Linked DNA regions of Styela clava. The protein of the gene in region 2 interacts with the protein of the main gene of each other region in a pairwise test. Links are inferred from orthologs where the notes say so. Each region holds a gene or a part of one and is shown on either strand. Other genes may lie near its edges.

Region 1 (12,480 bases), on a different chromosome or scaffold from region 2:
CTAAGCATGACATAATCATTAATATGCACGTAGTAATATTGAGCATACCATGTGATATCCAATTTGAATTCGAGAAGAAAGAGAAAAATTGTAATCAGCGATATAGAATTTAATATATGTTGAGTATATAGTTTGCAAGTCTTTAATACGTAAATGCATTATTAATTATAAACTAAAAACACCTAACAGGACCTAAAAATTTAAAACTTCATAAGAATAGGATTTACAAGCCAGCCTATACGTGGCGCCATAGGTTAATGTACACATTTGTAAAGACAAAGTTTCAAGCCTGAAATATATTAATGCTAAATCCACATGCAACAGACAGTTGGTAGGAGAAGGAATGAATATAGATGGTCCCGAGCGACCATGGAATTGACTCTTCCGAAGAAGACTGCCATATATAGACCACAAGTTTGATTTACTTTGGTAGCTACGCAAAATGTGTGCTTCCGACTGTGCAATGATTTAGGTAAAGACTAATTTTAAATGTCTCTAGCAAATACCTAAACCTAATTATCTAATTCTAACGTGCGGAAAACTTGATTCTTAGAAATGAGTATAGGAAACCTCAAGCCCGCCTAAGGCCGAGAAGACTAGTGCGCGATAAAACACGAATATTCTTCAACGGAGTTTAAAGTAAGCTCCTGCTGACAAAAATATATTTAAAAGATGACTCTACTTACTTTTGTGACGAATATTTTTCCGGCTGACGATAGCCTCGTTATTGACGTGTTCTTCTTACTAAAGTATTATGATTCTAAAACTTCAATATATACTAATCTGTTCCCTGTGATAAAAAAAACGGTATTTAATAATGATCGATCGAATCGGTCAATATTAATCTCACATAAGTTTTATACAACATTACAAATATTTTACACTGTCTGATACAAATACAAAATATGGAGTTCCTAAATTAAATTATACTACTCTATGACAATTTTGTTGAACGAGAGAACCAACCAAAATATCCAACATACCTAAGGCTAAGAGAGTTCAACCTGAACGCAATTATTTTGATAATTACAAGCTAATCGCAACTAAACAAGGAGTGACTACGCTATTTTTTATCGCGTGATTTTATACTTTCATAACCGCTGTGTCATGTTTACTATTACATTTCTCGTCTTCTAATTCGCATATGTTTGATTTGAAGTTCAATCAATCGCGTCACCAAATGAAAGTTGTTACGTTAAGCGTTACGGTCTTGTATTAAAATAGTTTGCAATTTTAAATTCCAAATCAAAATAACCATTATAAATGATGACAATTGCTACAGCGATTACTGTAGGCAATAAATACCTTGTGAACCACAATTATTGTTATCGCGAATTGACACTTAAATAAATCATAAGAAGAAAAAAGTTGAAAAGACACACAAATGGCACTATTTCGATTCGCAAGCTTTAAAAAAGCAATTGGGCCATTTTTTAACTATTTGACAATTCATGTTGGAATGATGGAAAATGAGCATCATTCGCCAGGCAATATTTTGATCTAAAATTAGGACCCTAATTTGTTTAAAATTGTTTAATTCAAGATAAGCACCCATACTATATATATATTGGATTTGCCATATAAAATTACGTAAAAAAAAGTTGCAACTTACTGATCAGGAATGATATTCAAGAAGTCCAATTCTTTCGATATTATTACAGATATCATTTCAGTCATTGGTGAACGGACGATAGATAAACACATATAAGACTTTACCTTTTTCACAAAACATGAGGAATTTTGCATAAAATCCCTCTGCAGTGTAACAATTGTCTATAAACAAGGTTTGGGTATTGTAAAGTGGAAATACCTCATCTGATGTGTCAAGCTCACATTATAGCCAACACTGTTCAGATTCTTTTGACTTCAAGCCAAATCATCGAAGGGTCTAGGAAACAGCAATGCAAAATATCTGTTGCAGGTAGAAGTCCCGAATTGCGTGCCTGTTCAGTCTTTCACAATTGCACTTACATGTATTGATAATCCCTATCTAACTCATTCGGATGCCAATATACCGCACATTATTGTGTTTCCAATTGTCCATTATAGTAATGTTGCACAATCAAAATAGAATTATTCAAAGTAACAGACAAGATAGCAATGCTTAAATATTTAGACACGAAAGTCGAAACGAAATATTTTTACCCACAATTCCCCCAAAATCATGTCCTGAACGAATCTCGAACTGTGTAACAGTGATCGTAACTAGGTCTAGTGTGGTTTAGTGCCACAAGTATATTTCTAGTGGGCATGGCGTAACAATTTTTTGAATATATAGCTGACTGCGTTATTAAAAAATCACGTCACCGAAACGTCACAACCACGTAATGGACCTTTCCCCGAGCAGCGACTTCCTTGTTTACTTCGTGACATTGGCCAATCAGCAAGATGCAAAAAGTGACGTAACAATGCCCCCTTTTCGCATCCGCTCAGACACTTTTCTCACTCAGACAGATTTTCAAGCGCGGTTGTAAACATTACCTCGTTTTCGCGTTTTTGAACTCTATTCGTTAGTTTTCAGTTCTGTTTCGGAAACTTAAATAAAAATCAGATAATTCAATGATCACTCTGTCTTCCTAGGAGTTTTAATTTAATTGCAGTAATAAAAATTAGTGTAGAAATAGCTGTGATAGACTAGCCTGAAATTCTTTACCGGTACTTTTAAAAAACAGATTGTTGTATGCGATGAATCATAATGATGGTTTGAAACACATACCCCATTTTACAAGCGCCAACTCGCAAAAGCACTCTTAAAATAGCCCTGAAAATTTTGCAATGGTAAAGTATAGGAAGAATTTTCCGGGGGTCAAAGGTCGGGGAAAGGTCCATAGATCTTGCCAGCGTAGAGCTAGCGATCGTCCGTAATGGCTTCTGCGACAAAGATAAGAAACTCACTGAAGCCAGCTATTTCTCATGTATTAGGTGATTGACGACTGTGAGGTAATTTTTGAATGGCGTAGTCATCAGGAGGTCAAGAATGAAATATTCAATAATTGCTGGTACTAAACTGTTCCCGTCAATAAAAATGAAACTAGATGAAATATCAGATCTCATAAGATTCAAGGAAATCTAGGAATAAATAAAAGTAATACCGACTAGAGACAAAAAACAATCTTTTACAACTGAAATTTTCGAAGCTATTGGTCCAGTAGTTAACAAGAATAAAGTACCGCCACCACCAACAACATAATAGCAAAACGATCCATAGCTCCATTTCGTGTTCAATAAATGTTATTCTGTGAAATAAACCCTACACCTTAGCGCTATCTAACGATTTTACTCGGGGTCAAATGAATTTTATATTCAAGTGCCAGCCAACATAATTAATATCGTTGATGGCTTATTTTCATTAAAAGTCTTAATCTCTATGCTGCGCCACTCAGTCACTACATCAATACAATTGTTGTAATAAATAATGATAATAAAAATACATCAATGCGCCAAAATATGGATACTAAAGTCAAATATCAAATAAATGAAATAGCCAAACTCTGGGTGAAACATCGTTTCATATGAGATTCTAAAGCAGGGGTCGGCAGCTTTTTGTCGCTCGCGGACCAAAATTAGGGGTTGCCAGTCTTGGCGGGTCGCATATCTTTTTAGAAAGGGAAATTCACAACTCGTGAAATCAACTTAGTCGTCTTATCCAAAGAAAAGTTTACAAATGAAATTTAATGCGACACTTTTTGTTGCATCACGCCTGATACGTTTTCGACATCACTAAATGGGAAACATTTTCTAAATGGGACACTGGTAAAAGCCAAGATTAAAACATTTTATAAAAGGGAATCACTGATCCGAGTTCTCAACTTAATTTTTGTACTGTTCATTTTCGAAAATAATTGTTTGTATGCATATCTACTTCCAAACATCGATGTGAATCTTTTCGCAAAGTTTGTCAAATTTGGATAGAATTTTCCTTCAAGGACATACTTTTTATGAAAATCAAGCAGTGAAACATCTCTTGAATAGAATATAGCTTTATTTCCTCATTGCATTGCACTTCAAATTCCATTCAAATATTTACTGTTCCATCGAACCCTTTGCACTTAGCATCAACTTTTTTGCGTTTTGTTGCCATTTGTCTAATTATAGTTAAGTATAGGCTTTTTAAACGAGTAATTGTAAATTATATACTTGTTAGGTTATAATATAATTTAGTCTACACGTGTTTCACAATAAATCATGTTAGGTAAAGAATATAATCGTTATAACAGCGGTTCCGTTACTATAATTCAGTGGAGCGTCGCTGGCCGGATTATTTTACTCCGCGGGCCGGATTTGGCCCCGGGCTGTAGGTTGCCGACCCCTGCTCTAAAGTCTGAATAAAGAAAATAAATTAATATAACCTCTATAAGCACTACAAATTTGAAAGCTCTTGCTTCTTTATCTGGGAGGAAAGCGATTCTTTTTCACAACAATAATAACAACCCCAATAACAAGTAATTAGACAGGGTTCATCTTGTTCAAGAATGTGATGAGTGAGCTATTGACCAAACCATTTTTGTTAAATGAAAATAAGTTCTATTGCATATTATGTGATGGGTCCGTTTAGGTGATGAATTATTAAAAAAAGTTCTTTCTGGATTGTATTTAGCATCCCAGTGCACCATCAATTCAAAAATAATCTCCTCAAAAACGATTCTTGGGATATTGCGTAGATCGGAATTATCTAGGTTCATGGATAATTGCGGTCGGCAACCTTTAGCTGGTCGCGGGCTAATATCAAATCTTATAGGCCAGATATTTATATCATACAAAACAACGTGTATGCAATGCGTTTTACACTGGTTGGAAGGAGTGCTGCATGAGGGCGAGCGATGAGACTGCTTGTTACCAAAAACTAATATCTTTTATCTTTCTATTTGAATGATAATTGCTCGCACCCACCCTTATATAGGCCGGCCGTGGGTTAACGACTCACGATCGCTCCGTTTTAGCCTAATCACAATGTTTCGAGAATCTTTCGAATATACTGTATGTTATGAACCATTTTAACCAATTTTTTAGTTTTTATTAACCTCGAAGATTATCACTCACCCACTGCCATTTTGCCTGAGCAGTGGATATCGGTAGCTTCGAGCAGCCCAGTGCTGAAGTCAAGGGTCTGGCTGAGCGCGCGTGTTTGGGTGTTGCAGTGTCGGGCATCATAATAGGATACAGGGATAGGATGGGATTTACGGTACATATTTATCCCGGGGGAGAGGAAAGCCGATAAGACTGCCTCTCGTCCGGTTACCATTCCAAGTCGGGTATGGGATTAGTTACCGGTATATTGTTTGTTTCGGAAGCATGGACTTGGTGGTTGAGGAAGCCGTAACCGACCAGCGGTTACGTGAACCACCCAACGACGGCGAGGAGTCCAGCAATCGTCTCGCACATAACCATCCCTGCATGGGATTCGAACCTGCGAACCCACGCAGAGTAATTAGAGGTGCGGTGGCGAGCGTATTTCTAACGCTTAGCACGTTGAGCCACACCGCCGCGGCATACCTAATACTCTTGTCAGTTTGTGATGTGCGTCCTGGTGTCAGTACATTTTGATTTCAAAGTATCATGGCAGTCGCCGATTAAAACGCCAAAATGGGAAAGTTCATGTTTCAGCGTTCTGATTATACATTCAGAATTTACCGTTACGGTAGGAAAATAAGTATATACATTAACGACAGCATCATCAATCACATGTATTTTCAGTAAATCTCTGTTCTGAAGTTAGAGCTGTAGAATGGCGTCAGCTATTCGGTCGATGTGGACATAGCCTACATATCGACCGAATAGCTGACACCATTCTACAGCTCTAACTTAAGAACAGAGATTTACTGAAAATACATGTGATTGATGATGCTGTCGTTAATGTATATACTTATTTTCCTATTTGTACATACATGTGTCCCTTATTTATTATTTAATTATTGAAAATTCCACTTTGTTGGAACCATGAAAAAAAAGAAAAAAAAAGAGATTTACTTACATCTGTAATTTGAGAAAATCCTCATTCTGTCATTTGATTGTTTTTGTCAAGACTCGATTGATGTTTCGTATCGACTATCAGACTTACAGATTTGACATGGTACCGGTATCTGACCTATCATTCAGCATTTTGTAGCAGAAACTGAGTCAGTGAGTAGACATTTTCACTTGCTCAAAATAAATAGAATGACTTGATGCAAGTCTGATGTTATTATCTAGTAGGGTATTGTAGTCGGCTAGTGCTGTAGTAGTGAAGTCTGAGAAAAGTATGAACAATAATATAATTATAATTAATCCTATCCTATTGAATACCGCAATGTCAGAATATGTCCAATGGAATGGTAGAATGGGATATGAAATTATTCAACACCGGAAATTGAAAATGAAAGTCGCATTCTGAACAAACACACTGGACAAAGACTGTCTCCTAAAGGAGGGGCTTGAATTCACTGTTATACTTGATGATTATTAATGTGGGGGCTATTCTTGAAATCAGAGAACTTTGCCCTACTGTACTGCAAATGAACTGAAAGTACTCACATGGACCATATTCTTTCAATTTTTTTTGTTGGAATACAGGAATAAACATGTAGCTTATAATAAAGCTATGTAAACCATTTTCGAATCAAAGATTGGAATTTCGGGCTTAAATTATCACATTTGGTTTGTTTTTAGAAAAGTATAATACAGTTATAATGTGAGTTTTAGAAAATTATGGTCGAAATGATTTGTCTGAATAAAACGAGCTTTTTTAGCTGCATGGCCATTCATTGTTGGTACTTAAAATTATGCTTTTCAAATTTGTTATATTATTCATTTATTCAATGAGATAATTATAAAAATAGTAATTTACACTATTTTTGTATAAATTATATACAAATTTGGAAAGCTATTTTTGTACATATTTTTATCAAAAAATTGTTCATAACCTTTATCAACAGGACCTGATTAAACATAGTCACACATTTATATGTGACAGCTATTTCCTTTGAATTCTGACATAAAATATATACCTATATGTACATACACATATATGTATATATTGTAAAATGTTGAGAGTCAAGATTGACTGTATATTGTAAAATGTTGAGAGTCAAGATTGACTGAATTTAACTTAGCAAATAGAAATGTGCATTGTTCAATTGGTTCGTTTGATTTAAATGGGTGTGTCACTTTTGAAATTTTTCATCAGAAGAACTTCAATTATGTTCAGTACGGTCTGTTTATTTAATTACTTTTCATTCAGTTGGCTTATTCAAAAGTCATGTTAAATTTTTCATACATATTACCGAGTTACCGTATCATAATAACTGTCATACATTACACAAATGAAAAAAGGTATAAAACAATTGCAACATTGAATATTTATGATGTTCTAATATCATCTAATTCTGATAATTCTACAATGAAGTAACGATTAATGCATAATATCATTAACATGTTGTACCTTGTAATATTTGCATTCAGAATAACAAGGAATATTTTGTTAATTGAATTGAATAAGGTAAAAGTTTATAAACTGTTTATAAACTTCAATTTTGCGAGAATAAATTTCTGTGATTCATTTTCAATTCGAATTGTGAATGTGATGCTGATTATAGATGATCCTTGTTTGTTGTTGTTTTAAACTAGTTACTCGAAGACAAGAGTAATTTAATAGTGTGCCATTCTCCATTTATTTGCATTTTTTTATTCCGTTATATTTATATTCAACTGCAGAAATACCATTCCAAATTTTTATAGTTTTGCTATATAAAATGTTTTCCTAACTGTGTATTAATTCAAATTTTTTAAGCTAGTTGACGCTATTTGTATTAGGATGTTGCACAGTTTGAACTAGGAATTCTGGAAAAAATCAAATAGGCTAGTCGATGATTTTCAGATTTTTAAATTGTTTACAATAAAGTTTTACTTTTGATAATACTATAGTTCACAATAATTTCATTTTAAAATTAGCTTTTGATCAATTGATGTGTGAGAACAAATAGTTTACATTCAACCTTAAAAACTACCGGTTTGTATCCAAAATATTCGGTTTGGACATTTCCCGATTTGAAGTAGTTTTAGTATTTTATAGCACATTTCATTAGCTAAGTAAATATATTGTCAACATTGCACCAAACAGTTTAGTTGTAATAATTTATTTTGTTTTGGCGGGTTTTCTAGCCATGGTTTATGATGACTAGTGAATTCCCCACTCTAAATTTCACATCAAGTAAGGCTGTAAATACGATACTAAAGTGTTTTGCTTTTGGGTAATATGGTTACTCAGGAAATAAAGTACACTTCCTGCCGGCATCATATTGTTTTCCATCAGCATGTGATTTTCTTAGTAGGAAAAAATATTAAATTACTACCAGAAGCTGTTTCCTGTAATATGGCGCTATATTCAATTCAGCTACGGGAGTATAGAGGCATTACAACACAATGTTCTAGTAATAAGTCCTATGATATTTAATTCACATGTATAAGTCCATTAATGCAAGTTCTTTATACGAGTTCATTTGGATGGCGATTACGTTAGTTGAAAATAATTTTGATTGTTTTTTAAAGAAAAGATTCTTAGATTTGAAGCTACCAGTGTGTTCATATTCTAATTGGAAAATTCTAATAATGTGAAGAGACTTTCCATAATGCATGGCTGGAATCAAAACTAGTCTTGAATTAAAGACACAAATGACGGTTCTTAATAAAGTTTATTCTAATGACAGCTCTATAATAATAACGCTTTCAAATGTTTAATAGTTGTATCTATTTTGAAGCCAATTATATAAAATTATCACTTATTTTATTTATTAGGAATTGCATTTAACATATTTAATTCATGCTGCCAGATTTTTCTGTAATTGTGTATAATATTAAATAAGTAGGTTATATCAGCCATTGCATGACTTAGACTAATTTTAATCACAATCACCATGGCTGGAGGAAGGCCTTTGGTAGCCTTGTTAGATGGAAGAGATTGCAGTGTGGAGATGCCAATTTTAAAAGACATAGCAACAGTAGCTTTCTGTGATGCTCAATCAACACAAGAAATACATGAAAAGGTAATGATTGGAACTGTTTTGAGTTGAAAAAAAAAAATTTTTTATGTAATTGAACGGAAAATTCAAAAAATGTTTGTGGTTATTTAGTATAAATACTTGGAATTTTTCAAACATGTTTATCGTACTAATTAGGAAGTATCCATCTCCTAATATTTTTTGTATGAATTTTTGTTTTGGTTTATTTTGATTTCTGTTGTTCAATATTTAATAGTATGCTGCTGAAATGTGATATGTCATATTATGTGATTTACAGAATCTTGAATTTGCTACCAACATGATGGTTTTGTTATTAAATCAAACTCAATTAAATGATTAGCACTCATTTGAATGCTCTATCATGAAATTCATTCATATTTTATTCTTCAAACTGCCAATATTTATCTAACTTTAACGGAGGAAACTTGAAAAAAACCTTTTGGGAAAATTTGGGAAAAGTATTTTCTTGACTTCTAAACATCTCTGCTTTTCACTGAAATAACTTTGGTGAATATCGTTTCAAACTTTGTTCAGAAAAGCTGCTTTTAAATTTTTTTGTTGGAAACTTTCAACATTCACCCTAGCATGTTGAAACCCTCAAATTGAGATGTTTGATTTGATGGATGACTGCTAATGTTTCAATTTAAAGGGGGGTTAAAGTTGTGAGTTGTTGCTATATTTGTTTATATCATACTGTTTATCTTTCAAGGTGCTTAATGAGGCTGTTGGTGCATTGATGTCACGCATTCCTTTGACGAGAGAAGATCTTGAAAAATTCAAAGCCCTTCGTGTCATAGTTTGTATAGGGTCTGGATATGATAATGTTGATATAAAAGCTGCTGCTGATATGGGTAGGCAAAACTGAAAAAATTTCAAAACAATACATTTTACTTTGATTTGGGTATTCTGCGTATGAAATTGGAGTTTATAATGACTGGATATGGTTTTGATCGTCTTTTCAATAGATATATTTTTATAAATCTTTACTTCAAATTTTTCTTATTGCTAATCTTTTGAGGTATTTAACATCTTCACTTTTGCACAATGCTTATTTGGGCAGATAGAGCTAATATAGTTTAGAAAGGAATGGAATATTTCTCTTTGCTTAACGCAATGGTTCTCAAACCTGAATGATTTGTGGCCACTTCCAAAGATTTTGCTGAATAAAAAAAAAAATTAGATTTGCTTTTGACACTTCTCCATCAGTTGTTTTATTCGTTACATTTAATATTAAAAAGATAACGAATGAAAGCAAAAGAATAAAGCACTGCAGTCAAAGAATTAAACAATTACGGTCAATTTACTTTCAATTGTTGTAGTTATCACAAATGGCATCTATGCCTTGTGGCTCCCAGAAAACCACTTTGTGGCTCGCTAGGGCCCAGTTTGAGAAGCCTAATGCTTGCCTAGGTTATGTTGTCTGAATTTCTCATTTCATGCAAGTTTGTTTTCATGTGATATAGCTAAAGACATTTCTTTGTTTCAGGAGTGGCTGTGTGTAATGTACCTGCTGCCACAGTTGATGAAGTTGCCGACACAACAATATGTCACATATTGAATTTATATAGAAGAGTAACTTGGTTACATGAATCAGTAAAGGAAGGCAGGCGACCACAGAACAGTGAAAATGTAAGAGAAATTGCTGCTGGAGCTACAAGAATTCGTGGAGAAACGTTAGGAATCATAGGATTAGGTCAGTCATCTTCAATATACTTACCGTAGTTGCATTAGTTTTATCATTAGTTTTTAAGAAAACGAAATTATTACTTTTTCACACAGTTATAGCATAAACATTTTCAATTGTTATTATCGTGTTTGACTGTTTTCCCAGTGTATTAATGCTTAATTACAAAGATTTTTATACCGCTTGTCAGTTGTCACTAATATATATACAATGATTCATACAACACTCCCAAATTCAATGACTCATTATCTGGTATTTTAATACTTCCATAATAAGTATGGAAAGCTGCCACAACATAATAATGTGGGTTATGGTTTTATTCTGTTCCTGACTAAATGTTGGTATTATTCTCGAGATATCTTTTTAAATTAAAAAATAGGAATCAACGGTGTTTTTGCTGATTGTAACAAAAATCTAATTTGGTATCTGAATGAATCCACAAGTTATTTCAAGTAATAAAGTTTTTTGTGCGGTATAAATTATGATGTATGCTTAATTTTTTTAGGGAAAGATAATGGACTGTTTTTTTTACTAACCATAAGGAAATTTTTAATCATACACCAGTGTAAATGTAGAAACTGGACTAGAAACAAAATTTGTAATTGTAAATAGTAATTGTGCTTTTCATTTGCCTGTCCTAATTAGATTAAACAAGTTCTTCAACTTCCATTACTTTTACATATTACGGTACATTTACTATTCTCATGCCATGATACTGCTAGTGCCATTCTATCATTTTTTATATTTAAATATGGAAATGAATATTTATATTTTCATTCTCAGGTCGGACGGGTACAGCAGTCGCACAAAGAGCAAAAGCTTTTGGGTTTAATATTCTATTTTATGATCCATATTTATCGGATGGAATTGGTAAAGCTCTCGGATTTCAAGATGTACCTACTTTGCAGGTGAAATATATGATTTGTAGTATGTATGTATGTACTATGTAGAATTTCTCGAAGTAAATATATTGAAAAAAAAATTTAGGTTCACAGTTAGCATGTGTTAAGCTTGTCTATTTCAGATATGCCTCTATCATATCAATGGCTAAAGATGAAAGATTTTAATAAAGTCATCATAATTGTTTCTAATATTCAGCACAAATTTGTACATCCCTGAATGTTAACACGTTCATTACATTTATTCTTCAAAGTAGTGATTATCAAAATATTGTTTTAACCAATCCAGGTTCTAATTGGGTTTCCCAAATCATGTATTCTTGCCCACTGACTATTTTAATAGTATGGAATTTAACCAAATGCAGATGAACTGTAATTTTTTTCCTTCTGTTTTGCGCCACTAGGATCTACTGTACCAGAGTGACTGCGTTTCAATACATTGCAATCTCAATGAACACAACAATCATTTAATAAACGATTTCACAATCAAACAAATGCGACACGGAGCGTTTCTTATCAACACAGCACAAGGTTCCCTTGTAGAAGAACATGCACTTGCTTCTGCACTTAAAAATGGAAATCTGAGAGGGGCAGCTCTTGATGTACAGGTCATATATAATCATTATTTAATTAAGATCTCCATATTTATCTTGGGGTAAAGAAAAGTATATGACGAACCACGGTGTCTTGTCCAGTGACCAGTCCATATTGGGTATAGGAATAGTTGATCACGTCTTTGTTTCAGATTCAGGGACTTGATGTCGGGGAAAGCCGTAACCGACCAACAGTTTCGTGAACCATTCTACAACATACAACGATGAAGGGTCCAGCAATTCTCTCGCACATAATTATCTTCGCCACAGGATGCGAAGCTGCGCAGGGTATTCAGAGGTGTGATGACAAG
Region 2 (12,593 bases):
GAAGAGTAAATGTTTCATATCATTTCAGTCTCTGATCCGTTTATTGAAATTAAAGTCCAATAGATTATGCATTTGAATCCTATCTAATACACAGTCTGAAGTGGAGATTAAAATTAGTGTTCCCCTACGAATTATGCAAGATCATTAACACCAGCTTATAAAAAGAGTTATAAATATTATACAATCCAATAAAACAAATTGCAAAAAATGTTATGAGTAAAATTGCAACAAAATACAAACTGATAAAAACTCAATGGGAACACAGATTAAGTCACTTCGACAAGAAGAAGAGAGATTATGATCAAGACAATTGGCATTATCTGATCATAAAGCACATTGTTTTACATTTAATTTGAGGATGACAGAAGCAAGAACATCAGATTATATCAATGAATGACACTATCATGAAATTTTACCTCCAAATCGTGAGGTGTGCCACTATAATCTTGGCATGCCATCCATTTTAACAACATAGGAGTGGCATAGGCTGTCGAAATTGTGGTTTTTAAGATATTGAAAGTCTCCTAACCTTGTCAAAATCATAGGAAATACAAGGTCAAATTTCAGTGCTATGTTACATTATAGGGTATACTAACAATATTGGTATAGTTGGTAATGTGCATATGAAATGTTCGATACAGATCTAGTGTAATCAGTGTGGCCAGTGTGATTTCAATATTTTTAATATATAGTTGAAATACATGGTGTCCATAAAGTCCTATTACAATTTCAATTTTGTTATAAAGTCAGACTTTATGGACACCCTATATATCTTTTCAAATAACATTAATCTTTCCCCTATTTTTCATCCCTATTTTTAACACATCACTCTTTTAATCATGTCCTAATCTAATCTAATATACATATGGAAACATAGATAATTATTATTTATATTCAATATTTTAAATTTGTGGTATCAAGAATAATTTGGACTAGTTTCAATTTAAAATTGTCAGATTGAGCAGTTGAAGTCTTACAATATAAATAAAAGACCTTCATTCCATTTCTTAATTTCTTAAAACTGTGGTTAATAAATAATCACTGATTATTGCATCCCCTCCCAAAAAAAATAAAAAAAATGTAAAGCCGATTTCAAATATTGTTTAACATTTCTGGATGAACTTGATGAATTTTCTCAAAAACGATTAAATGAATTTAATCCACTGTTAATCTTCTGCTTTGATCAATTACAATTATAACACAGTTCAATTGCATGATTCACAAGTTCAAACACATTCTCTGCCGGATTAAATCAGACTTTTGTAAAGTTAATACTTCGTTAAGCCAACTTCAAAGCAAGGATGATCGAAATGTGAAATTCTATAGCATAAAAGGAATTAAGGAATATCATCTTAAATTATTCACTTGGTTTTGGTATGATTCAGTTGGAAAATTCGAATAAATTTTGATTTTATTTTAAAAAGCGTTAGATAATTTTTGAATATTAGTGACTTGAAAATTACAATCAAAAGAAATATATTATATTTTATAAAATGATTACGGCCCCAACAAAGCGAATGCGATCGGCCGTGCCCCAGCGCCCTCACGGGGCTCCAGGTCCGAAAAGACTCGTCAACGGCGGACACGGACTACTCCTATAAAGATATATGAAAGTGGATTCCAATGATACAATTCATCCAAATACAATCTGCCATTACATTTTGTGTGGAGCCTATTTCAAACAGAATAAAACATCTCATAAACCAGTGGTTCCCAAATCAAGGCCTGTAACGATTTAATATGGCCCGCCGAACTTAAGTGAAATAGTTAGACACTTTATGTTTTTTCTTTTTGCCTCCAAGATACCACAAAATTGTTACATGATCATCATTATATTATTGTAACAATTCAAATATATCGATATGTTATTTATATGTACCGGTACGGGTATGGGCCCCTTGCGGGCACTTTCTCTCTTGGCCCGCATCCTTCCGCTTATAATTTTGGCCCCCGGTCAATCAAGTTTGGGGACCACTGCCATAAGAACATCCCATAATCCAGCTATTCTCAGACATTAACATGATCTTGTTAAAACATCACTGTAATCATGCTACATACAGAAATAAGAGACAAAAATTGACGAACATTATTATTAAGGTGCTCCTGAAGTATGCGAACCAAGATGGCGGACATCGAAACGTAGCATGGGTAACAGGTTAAAGTTAGGCCATAATTTTATTCCAATTTTCCCTATTTTAGTCCTACTATGAGTTCGAAGACTAGCCAAGTGCCTCTTGTAGTATTTGTACCTAAAATTATGGCCTAACCCTAACCTAGTACACATATTACATTCCGATGTCCACCATCTTGGTTCGCATACTTCAGGAGCCCCATTATTAATGTATCTCAGACAATTTGCAACTAAAGCAACTTTAGTAAGCAACTAAATTTCCCTGTCAAACATCTGACAATCTGTACTTCATCTTACCTGATTTTTCTTTTATTTCACAAAGGACTTGAAACAGAGCTCCTTTCATTCTATGAACATTCAATGCATGTTTCCTGAAAACATGAATAATATGCATTAATAAGTTAATTTATAGCAAATAGAAATAAGAGAACCACGCAGCATATGAAAAACTTGAAAATTTTGGCTGTGAATGGGAGCATATCCACGGCCCAGGAAGCAAATAAAAAATATCCTGAAAACTTTTAACATATTATATTCAAATATTCGATTCATTGGTGAGCTATCAATACTAAGTTTATTCTTATAGTTTAAATCCCAGCCTTGAGCACAACTTGTAAAACAGTCAAACATGGGTATTGATCTGACATTGGCAAAGTAAGTTTGGTAATTCAATCTGGCCCGCCTGATGCAGCCACAAATAAACTAAAACCAAATTTTGATGTTTTATCCAAAAAATAACATAACCCAAGTAATTTGTTGAGATTACGATTAAATTTGATTTTGGCATGAGGCTTATTGTAACACTGCAAATATTGTAACACTGCAAATATCGTTCATAAAATGTAACGTTTCATGTCACACTTACATGGCCCGCTAGTCTAGGTGGGCAAAATTGTTTAGCCCCTGGTGCAAAAATCTTGCTCCTCTGGTATAGATAGACAACATAATGTACCATATAGGCAGACATGTTTGGTGCAAACATCCTAAGACACCTAATTTACCACCACCTTACATAGTTTGAGATTTCCCGCTACAGATTTAAAGGTGTAAATAAAGTGAAAACGAGAATATCGGTCGGAGACCGAAGACTTATAGATCTTAGATCGGTAATTAGTTAATAACTCGCTAATTATACGACATAATTAACCCAAAATCTATAGGCTTCTGGTCCGAGGTAAGATGCATGCACATGCAAAATTTGGAGCAGATTCAACCACGCGTTCGTGAGATATCGCGTTCATCTAACAGACAAACAGACAAATACCTATCAACATACTTACCGATCTTAAGATCGATAAGTAACAATTAGAAATTTATTCAACATATTTTCAGACATCTTGTAAAAGTTTCATCAGCACAAGAGTGAAAATAAAATTTCCAAAATAACCTGGCTTGAGCTTCGTCCAAACTTTGGTCAGTAATCGTCATAATCTGTTGCAAAACATCACTGATGTCTTGTTTTCTACCGAGAGGTAGAATATTTGATTGTGAATCTACATCGTTGCCTTGTTGTCCTCGTGGATTGTAATCTCCACCTCCGTGCATTTGCCCTTGCAAAAATGCCTGGGAACGCAAAATAATAATGTTAGTAATGCAAAATTCACCCTGCTGATTCTGTAGGGTTATTTTTGTCCAAAGACATATATTGTGTTTAACGTTTTCACCAATTTTGCAGCCAAATCAAACTGGCAGGGGATATGTATTAGAATTTCAAGTGTAGTATCTAGTGTCATAACAATTTCACAGTCTCAAAAAGAATTGCCAAAGTACCTCGCAGTTTTTGCAAAAAGTGCGCTGATAGTGAACACTGTAGCCCAATGCTTTTCAACATTGTTTCCACGAAGCGCTTATTGGGGTTCTGTGGGATTTGGTAGCTCGGCGACAGATTCTCTTTCAGTGGACTGTGTCAATTTCCCTATACCTATATGTGTGAAGCAGTAATTTCTACTCTAGTAACTATTATGAATTAAAATATGAGTCGCTTGAATAGTGGATATGTGCATAAGGATTGCACTGAGCAACATGAAGCCACGATTTCAATGAAACACAGAAATATTCGACTTTCATAAATTTATAAGTGTTTTTGAACAATCGTGGTTCCTTGATGAGACCAATATCATAATTACAGTAGGGCACAGTTTCCTGATTCAAAAATGTCCCCACATTTGGTGCAATAAAACAAACACTTTATTTGTCTCGGAAACCAAGGCATCTGGACCAAAATAGCATTTTTTTTCATAACTCTCCAAGCTACACTGCTGTTATCGAAGCCAAAAGTAGGGGTTTGCATTCACTGTTATAATTGATGTCTTTCAATGTGGGGTCTTCCAATTCTCAAAGAACTGTGCCATACTGTATTAGATAAATATAAATTAAGTGCCACATGCTTTTTGGGGCAAAAATAATGCACTTAATGCAGAAGTTCTACTAGACTATAAATCTAGAATCCAAGTTTAAGGGTAATTCGAAATTTTCAGATTACATAAGGACAACCAACAGCATAGACTCTTAGAGTAAGCAATTGAAAGTGAAATCTTGAAAACTAGACAATATCATTTGAGATTATGCCGGTACAGATATAGATAGATAAGATAAGTTTATTTCGACTCCATAATCAGCAAAAAGGCATAAAACGGTTGATAAAAACAAATAAATAAAAACTGATTATGAAATCAGCAGAGTAAACAAAACCTTGGATAAGGTTTAAAACGTACAGAATACTGGAATATAAGATGGAAGGTACGGGTATTGCCAAAAAGAAGTGGTACGTGTTCATTCACCTAAAACTATTGAATCAAACCATTCACACTCACACACATGTAACTAGTATTAGAATATTAATCAAAATGAGAATTTGCAAAGTCATTTTTCAACTGATTGAGCAACTCACCTGGCTGCCGTAATTCCCTTCATCCATTTGTAGCCACAGAATTTCCTTCAATTTAATTTTGCTAGATCCAAAATCCTGAAAATTACTTATTATGTCAAAATGAAAAGAACGAACTAAATCTGTAGTCTAAATACAAAAATAACCTCCAGTCTGCCACTAGAATATAGTTCATTACATACCAAAAAAATCCAATATGGATATCTACCTGACCTACATAAGTCTGTAAGTAGGCTACGGTATTACTTTATAGATTACGGTACCACTTTATACAAAAAAAAATAATGAGAAAAGCGTTTTTTTCACACAAATGCACAACTACATAAAAATGAAACGACCCATAGGTCCCTGTTCGTGTTAATAAACTAAATTAGATCCTCAGTTTTGGTATTACAGAACCTCCAAAATAAGTAAATATGCCAAAATAAACAAAAGTAAATATCATCCTACCCGAAAAGCAACAAAAGTTTGAAGCAGCAAAGCGCAACTTCGACCGACTTGCGCGTGAAAAAAACACTTCGAGTGCCCACTTGTGGTCAAACTAGAATTTACTCTTATTTTATATCAACCCCGTGCAACTAACTTGTCCCATTATGGCGTCATATGGACGCCATTTTCGATCATTCGGCTCGAGTAGTGTAACGCAAACAAGCCTAATTTTAGTAGTTTTAAAAGGCTATTGGGGCAGATTTAAATCAGTAGTTATATTCCGAGGGCGCAGAAATCCGATAGGATGTCGGGGCATTTACATTAAAAACCCACGACGCTCGGTAACAAACATAATATAGACGCAACGCACGGTTAGTAAAGTAAAGTTTATTTCGGTTTTTCGTAACACTAAAACAAATATATAGGCAATGCAAGTCAACACACACTCATATAGCCTACGGAAAATCGGGAAAGTAGGCAAAATCTTAAACTATTCAAGACCTGCTGATGCTAGGGCTACCAACCGTCCCGGGAATGGCAGGGACAGTCCCGGATTTGACGTCTGGCGTCCGGAATTTACTGACAACCGAAGCGTCCCGATGGCGTGACAAGACCTCCGTGATGATGTTTCCATTAGGATAGTAGACAAACACAGTTTCACACTACAACAGGCCTAAATGACTAAAACTAACTAAATTTTTCGACAGTGAAGGCGACGTCAAATGGGACTGTAGCTAAATATTGATGTCAATGTTACATTAGAAATTCGCCCCTTTTTAGACACTCCAGGCTCCAGCTGCATAACTGAGTTGTAAACGTTCTTACCAATGGCAGTACAATGAGAGAGAGAGATTTCAATATTTTGTCAACCAAAAAATACAGTCATCAATAAAATAGCCATAGCCACAATTTTGAGAAAAACGCAAAAAACAATTTGGAATTTTTTCATTCTTGAATATCTATTCTAGTCTATCTATTCGAAGTGATCAATATTAAGTTTAACCCTGAGAGATGACTAATGGCAAAACTTGAACTATTTAGATAATATTTTTACAATAAATTTGTGAACAAAATGAGGGGATGTGATGGAAAATTATACCTGACTGATACCTGAATTCAATGGGGTTCGGACGATAATAATCAGAAAAAAAAAAAAATTGGCTATAAACACAAAGTGGATCAGGGACAAAAAAATTAATGTGATGAGGATGTGTCTGAGCGTGAATAACAAATAAAATAAAGTGCAACCCAGTGGACATACACATTACACAGAAACACATTGGATAGGGCAAGAGGAATTCTATTCATAGGTTTGTCATGATCTGAAAATGTTTAAAAATTGCATGAACTTTATACATATGTTTGGGATTTTTGCAACCTTGCACTCCAAGAATGTTAATACTTATAATGTACTTATCAATAAGTTTTAGCAGGTCGGGTTTTGAAAATGTTTCTGACTCACACAAGAGGATCAATCAATAGAAAAATTCAATAATTCACATCTTGGGAATCGTGTCTACAAATCAAAGCGAGCAATGATTATCATAGGAATAGTGAACATTTTTATTTAAATCTTTGGTGTTACAGTATGATTCATGAAACCATTACAAACAAACTAATAGTCTAGAATTTGGAAATAATTTGATTAACCAATAAAAAGAAATGATACTTCATATCAACTATCAAAGACATGAGAAAAAGACCATTCAATTGATCAAGAATAGCATGTAAATACCTTAATATGAAAGACATAGAAAAGAAGTGCTATTCGATTGATCAACAATTAAAATTTTAACAATTAAATAACAAAGAAATGAAAAAGGTACAATAATTGAAACTTCAGCAGTATGTGTACCAAGTGACGGTTAGCCCCATATTTCATTCCGACCTTCCTCATCTTAGGTCATCACGAGCTCTGAACTGCCCATGTCAGCCAAGCGATGGCGACTACATACGAGTGGCTGATTAAAAACGCAAAAAAATAGCACCCCCGTGTTATAATGAAAGTGTTATGTTGTTTCATATCGCAAAAACGATTAGAGGGAAATGCCCCCCCCCCCCCCCAATTTTCACATTTTTGTACTTTTTTATATGACCCAACATTATAAGTTTCTGACACAACTGGTTCGTCCTGGAGTCGGCTGTTTCAATCAAACCCAAAACGTTTAAGAAATGATTTACGAGACATTCAAACTGGCAATTAGAGTTTACTTTGGCATTCACAACTCACTGTAGGCCTATTGTTATTTTTTGAAACTTCATCTCAGTCAATATTTTAGTTGATACAATTCTTGATGATTTGAATTTTTTGGTGGATTTGGCACATCGAATATTGTCATTCCCTTTTATTTTAATTTTTTCCATTTATCCGTACTCTTCGGTTCAAATTGGTATTCTTCAAAAGTGAGTCTGAAAAAGGAATGAGTTGTAGGTTACACAATGAACGTACTTTCGAAATACCAAGCGTTCAGCATCCCATTTTAACACAAAATATAATTGACAGTGACTTAACGAAACACGCATTCAGTTCAGAAATTCATTATTTCCACTAAGCTCCGAATTGTCTACTCATATTGCTGCTAATTACTATAAATTTTTGTTACTGCAGTGCTTTAAACAATCGTGACAATAAATCTGATACATTCAATGCAATGTTCTGACTTTGCATTACTTAGGAAGATTTGAAAACAGTTTCCCTAACCTGCTGACCTGACATCTGAAGCCAGCATTTAGAAAATCTTACTAATTTAACTCAACTTTCCTGGGGTCAGAGCTAACTTAAATGAGTCGAATCGGCAACGTGACATAAATAATTAAATATGACATCATCCTAAAACTGTGTACCACCTATCTTTCCTGGTGTTAGTTTGACATTAGGCCATTCGTTTGACTAACCTCACTCAAGGAACTGCCTGGGCCAGATTTCCAGCCTTTACGTCGCCTACAGTTATTTTCCCATTTCCTCCTTCTCTGCATCTGATGATAGCTTCAATAGTTGCACTGTTTTGCTATTCCCGCTGCAATTAGAGTCGAACAGCCTTTAATTCTATAGCAGAAGGCACCAGCCTAGCCGCGGATCACGCAGAACCGCCGTAACCTCGCAGGCGATATTGATCGAAAATGGCGGCCAATTTCCATTGTTGCGCAACTTAGGTATATAAGGACTTTGTTTTATATCAAGGGCCGGCAACCAACTTGCCTAATGTTAAACAGGTCCATGGACGCCATCTTGTGCCATATTTGGAAAACACGAAACAATGGAGTCTTATGGGAAATTTTCGTCGTGTTGTTGTACCGAATCAAATAACTCAGCTGTTAGTGGAGCAAGACTGAAACCGAAGGGTGGATTTTCAACGCCAAGCTATGAACTATGTAAATATGTAATAAAATATGAAGTACAACACTATCTATTGCAAAAAAATTGGCCGCAGAGACAACGTTGTGCAATTTTTCGATCAGGTCCTCGGAGATCTTTATTGCGACATACCGATTTGACGCTTAACAATGCAAGTATTCTGACGCAACAATGGATTTTATGTAATTAGATCCAAGTCCTTATTTAAAATAAAAACCCTACACAATTCAAATACCTTGTGAAAATGGGATTTATTATTATCAAATTATGTATTATTTTGCTATAAATCCGAACACGCGTAACTACTCTTGCGCATGGAACAAACAGTCGAACACGCATAGTTCACTAGGACAAAAATATACTGTATATTTGAACAATATGTAAGTGGCCGACGGAATTTAGCTGAAAATATATTTTAATAGTATAAATGCATTCGTGTAATATAATTAATGATAACCGTAACGTTGATGAAGTAGAACATCGAAGAGTACCTAACAAAATCGAATAAATTAAAAACAATCAAAAAATTTCAAAATGGAATCAAAATATATATACAGGTCTTTGACTACCTAATATTTGTTGCGCGAGCAGCGCTTCTGCTAGCATATTGGTGGCATATACTTTTTTGGGTTGCTCTCCTAGCATAAATTCGCATTCTCAAGAGAATGTATCTATCTATAATTTTTTCAATTAAATTATGGCAACTGGAGAACAATGGTCGTCTTAAGCATTCGATTTTTTGTTTTAATAATGCTTTTGGATTAGGCTGCAATTTTAAAGTTTTTATGTTGAGCCGAAAAATAGATTCCAGTTGTTGAAAATATTTAAGCAGGGACAGTGATGGATGAATCAGGTGCATCGAATTTTCGGTTGATATTAAGTCTTTATTATATGATTTAAAAAGTGTTAAAAGGGCTTCGGGACAATCCTTCATATTGATCGTATATTCTTGCCTACAAAATGATTTTTCACACGTTTCACATTTTTCTATATTTTTAAGTTCTTTAAAAACAGCCCATCCTAAAATATAATAAAGCCCGTTGGACTCGCAAATGTCCATGCAGACGACTGCAGATTCAATAAGTGCGTCCACTTCATTGATTTCGATGTTCGGTTGTGGCTCATCATTCGTCAAAGAATATGAGGCATTGCTATGTTCTTTTATAAATGTTATCAAGTTTTCTGAGTCGTCCGTGTCGTAATTTCCACTCGAGGGAACGTGGAGAAACTGACCAACCGATATTAATTTTATTGCATTTCGGAATTGACATGCCTTCGGATGCGAATTTCCCTTACTTCGCACCTGTGATGTTAAAAACATTTCATTCAGAGATCACCATACGACTATATAAATGCAATTACGATTTATTTAATATATTCTATCGCTGTACTGAAAGATAAGACAAAAAATAACCTGAGAGAATAAATTCTCTACAGCATCTTGTGTTAGTTTTCCAGGTAGTAAAAAATTCATTTTTCCGCCTAGCACAATGTCAGCATGAAGCCCGATTATCGAAGTTGTTGATAACTTAATACCGGATTGAATTGGCTTCGATTTGTTTCCTGGAAATACTAAATTCTGTACGACGCCGATCACCTAAAATATTTGGTGCCCGTTTAGTATGCGATTTTACTTACAATATATATGATGTGTCACTTACAACAGACCTCGATAAGGTGATCGAGCTTTTTTCGAGAGTTAGGGAACAGAGCATTATCAATGGACCTGGCGTTTACAATATCGAACCATTTGTTGAAGAATGAACAGAAGAATGATGTCGACAAAGCATCTCTTGGCAGTACGCCACTCTCCACAAGCGTTTTTATTGCGCATGCTGTACTATGACTGATAACCTATGAAAGATGGAGTTTAATGTAAAATTCTAACTCATTGGTTTATGAAGAAAAAAAATGATTTAACAATATTTTATTTCAGCAAAAATGTGAAATTACGACTTTTATACTGTTACTTCAATATTTTTAAATAGGTAGAAATATACTGAAATACAGGTAGACCTGAGCCGCTAGACCAACTCTCATTTTTTGATATTTTGAAGGTTTTATATGCTTCTCCGTGAGCTTTGGGGCAAGTTTCATCTCTTTTTCTCTCTGTTCATCTGCCACTTTCTCAACGTAACAGAATCGAACCTGTGGTTAGATAAATTTTAGATTTAGCCTATAGGTATAATACACTTACTGCGCATTTTTATCAAGCACATTTTTGATACTCACCATTTTTGTCGGAAGATTATATTTCGTAACGACAGATGCTGGCAATTCAATGTCATGATTCATAAAAGCTGTTCGTAAATTTTTTATAAGGTGCGGTACGTCGGCAATAAAATGAAGTTTCCTATGTTCGAAAGCAGGGTGAGGCACAGACCAATTCACTTCGAATCTAAAATAGAGTAAGCAATGAGAAGTTAATATGGTGTAAATTGTAATGGATAGGCTTCTTCGTGATATATGTATACGCGGATATCACATCCTTAAAATTATTCAAACCTGTTAGAAACTATCCCCGCACTTCTCCACATTGCTTGATTGCTGGATCCCATGTCGCTGACAATAGAAACCACCGTGAATCCACGTTCTGATAGAGCTAATATCATTTGTTTGGTTAAGCACCATAGGTCATTTCCGCTCACAGAAGTTCCGGTGTAAAAATAACCTGAGAAGTCACAGCAAATTGGAATAGCCTACTATGTTTGATAGAAAACAACAAAATAATGAGCAAAACAAAGAGTATTCCACCCCACCTATAAGCTGCTTCCACTTCAGAGAAATTCCCTTAACCATGAAACATAGCGCATGTGAGGCAAACGTGTCTAGAGGTTTTCCACCAAGAACTTCAGGGTTAATATAACCAACAAACTCCTTAATGCCAATGTCGTAGTCGACTCCTCTGGATATCTGAACCTCATCCAGCATTACCGAACACAAATGAGCACGAGTATCCAAGCCTTCCATTTTTGTCTTCATCCAATCCAATATCAAATATTGAACCCCAGCTTTCAGATCCAATTTGAATACCCGTGAACATAACGTTCGATAAGCTGGAAGGGGGAACGCTATTTTGCGCAGATATTCGTACCTTAAAAAAACAAATAAATATATCATGTTCATTTGCATTCAAGGTGACGTTTACCGCAATGTTTATATGTATTACGTATATATATATATGTATCATGTTTCCGGAAACGCAAAATTTAAATATATTTTTTTTGAGCATGCCCAGAAATTAATTACGCATAATTGGTTTTTAACAACTTTTAGAATCTCAGCAGAGACTGAACTTATTTTTTTTTTATCATACCCAGAAATTCCTGTCGCACATCTAATTTGCAGGGCAGAAAGAATTGTTTCGTCAGTCCATTGATTTGCCCTGCTACCACGAGGCTTTTTCAGTGATTCCAGTTGGTCAGGATTCAAAAATGTATGTAAATTTTCCTTCAGTTTCTCCACTTGTTTTTGTAGTTGTGAAATCTAAGATGCAAGTAACGAGAAGATTTAATCAAGCTCAATAACTATGTTGTTAGTTCAAATTGACTAAAATACACGTTAATGGTTATCACTTAGGTTGCACCAGAATTTCGACAATTAAGCAAAAAAAAACGTAATATTTACTTGGAATTTTAGTCTTCTGTTTTCAGACAATAGTGCTCTGCAGGTAGAACAATCAGGCCCCGTAGTACTTTTTCCTTCAGCTAATAAAGCCTCATCTTCTGGCACCTCGGAAATAACCTGACGGGAAACTGGCCGACAATAGCTGTGTTCACATACTGAGATGC

The links.
Region 1: the proteins of pre-B-cell leukemia transcription factor 1-like (region 2) and C-terminal-binding protein 1-like interact in a two-hybrid assay, tested with the Drosophila melanogaster proteins (2 studies listed by BioGRID, with this or other methods). The link is inferred for Styela clava from reciprocal best matches to the Drosophila melanogaster genes exd and CtBP.

What each region holds. Positions count from the first base shown.
Region 1 is NC_135251.1:22,309,511-22,321,990, forward strand, and holds the start of C-terminal-binding protein 1-like, read left to right. Parts: upstream 1-5,973; 5' UTR 5,974-8,888; coding exon 8,889-9,017; intron 9,018-9,702; coding exon 9,703-9,844; intron 9,845-10,479; coding exon 10,480-10,686; intron 10,687-11,460; coding exon 11,461-11,585; intron 11,586-11,980; coding exon 11,981-12,184; intron 12,185-12,480. UniProt on the Drosophila melanogaster protein: Corepressor targeting diverse transcription regulators. Hairy-interacting protein required for embryonic segmentation and hairy-mediated transcriptional repression.
Region 2 is NC_135254.1:7,435,172-7,447,764, reverse strand, and holds the start of pre-B-cell leukemia transcription factor 1-like, read right to left. Parts: upstream 5,538-12,593; 5' UTR 5,469-5,537; intron 5,097-5,468; 5' UTR 5,049-5,096; coding exon 5,022-5,048; intron 3,695-5,021; coding exon 3,519-3,694; intron 2,503-3,518; coding exon 2,429-2,502; intron 1-2,428. Other genes in the region: uncharacterized protein LOC120327068, read right to left, coding at 9,627-9,684, 9,777-10,105, 10,217-10,276. UniProt on the Drosophila melanogaster protein: Transcription factor which acts with the selector homeodomain proteins altering the regulation of downstream target genes such as wingless (wg), teashirt (tsh) and decapentaplegic (dpp), thus affecting segmental identity.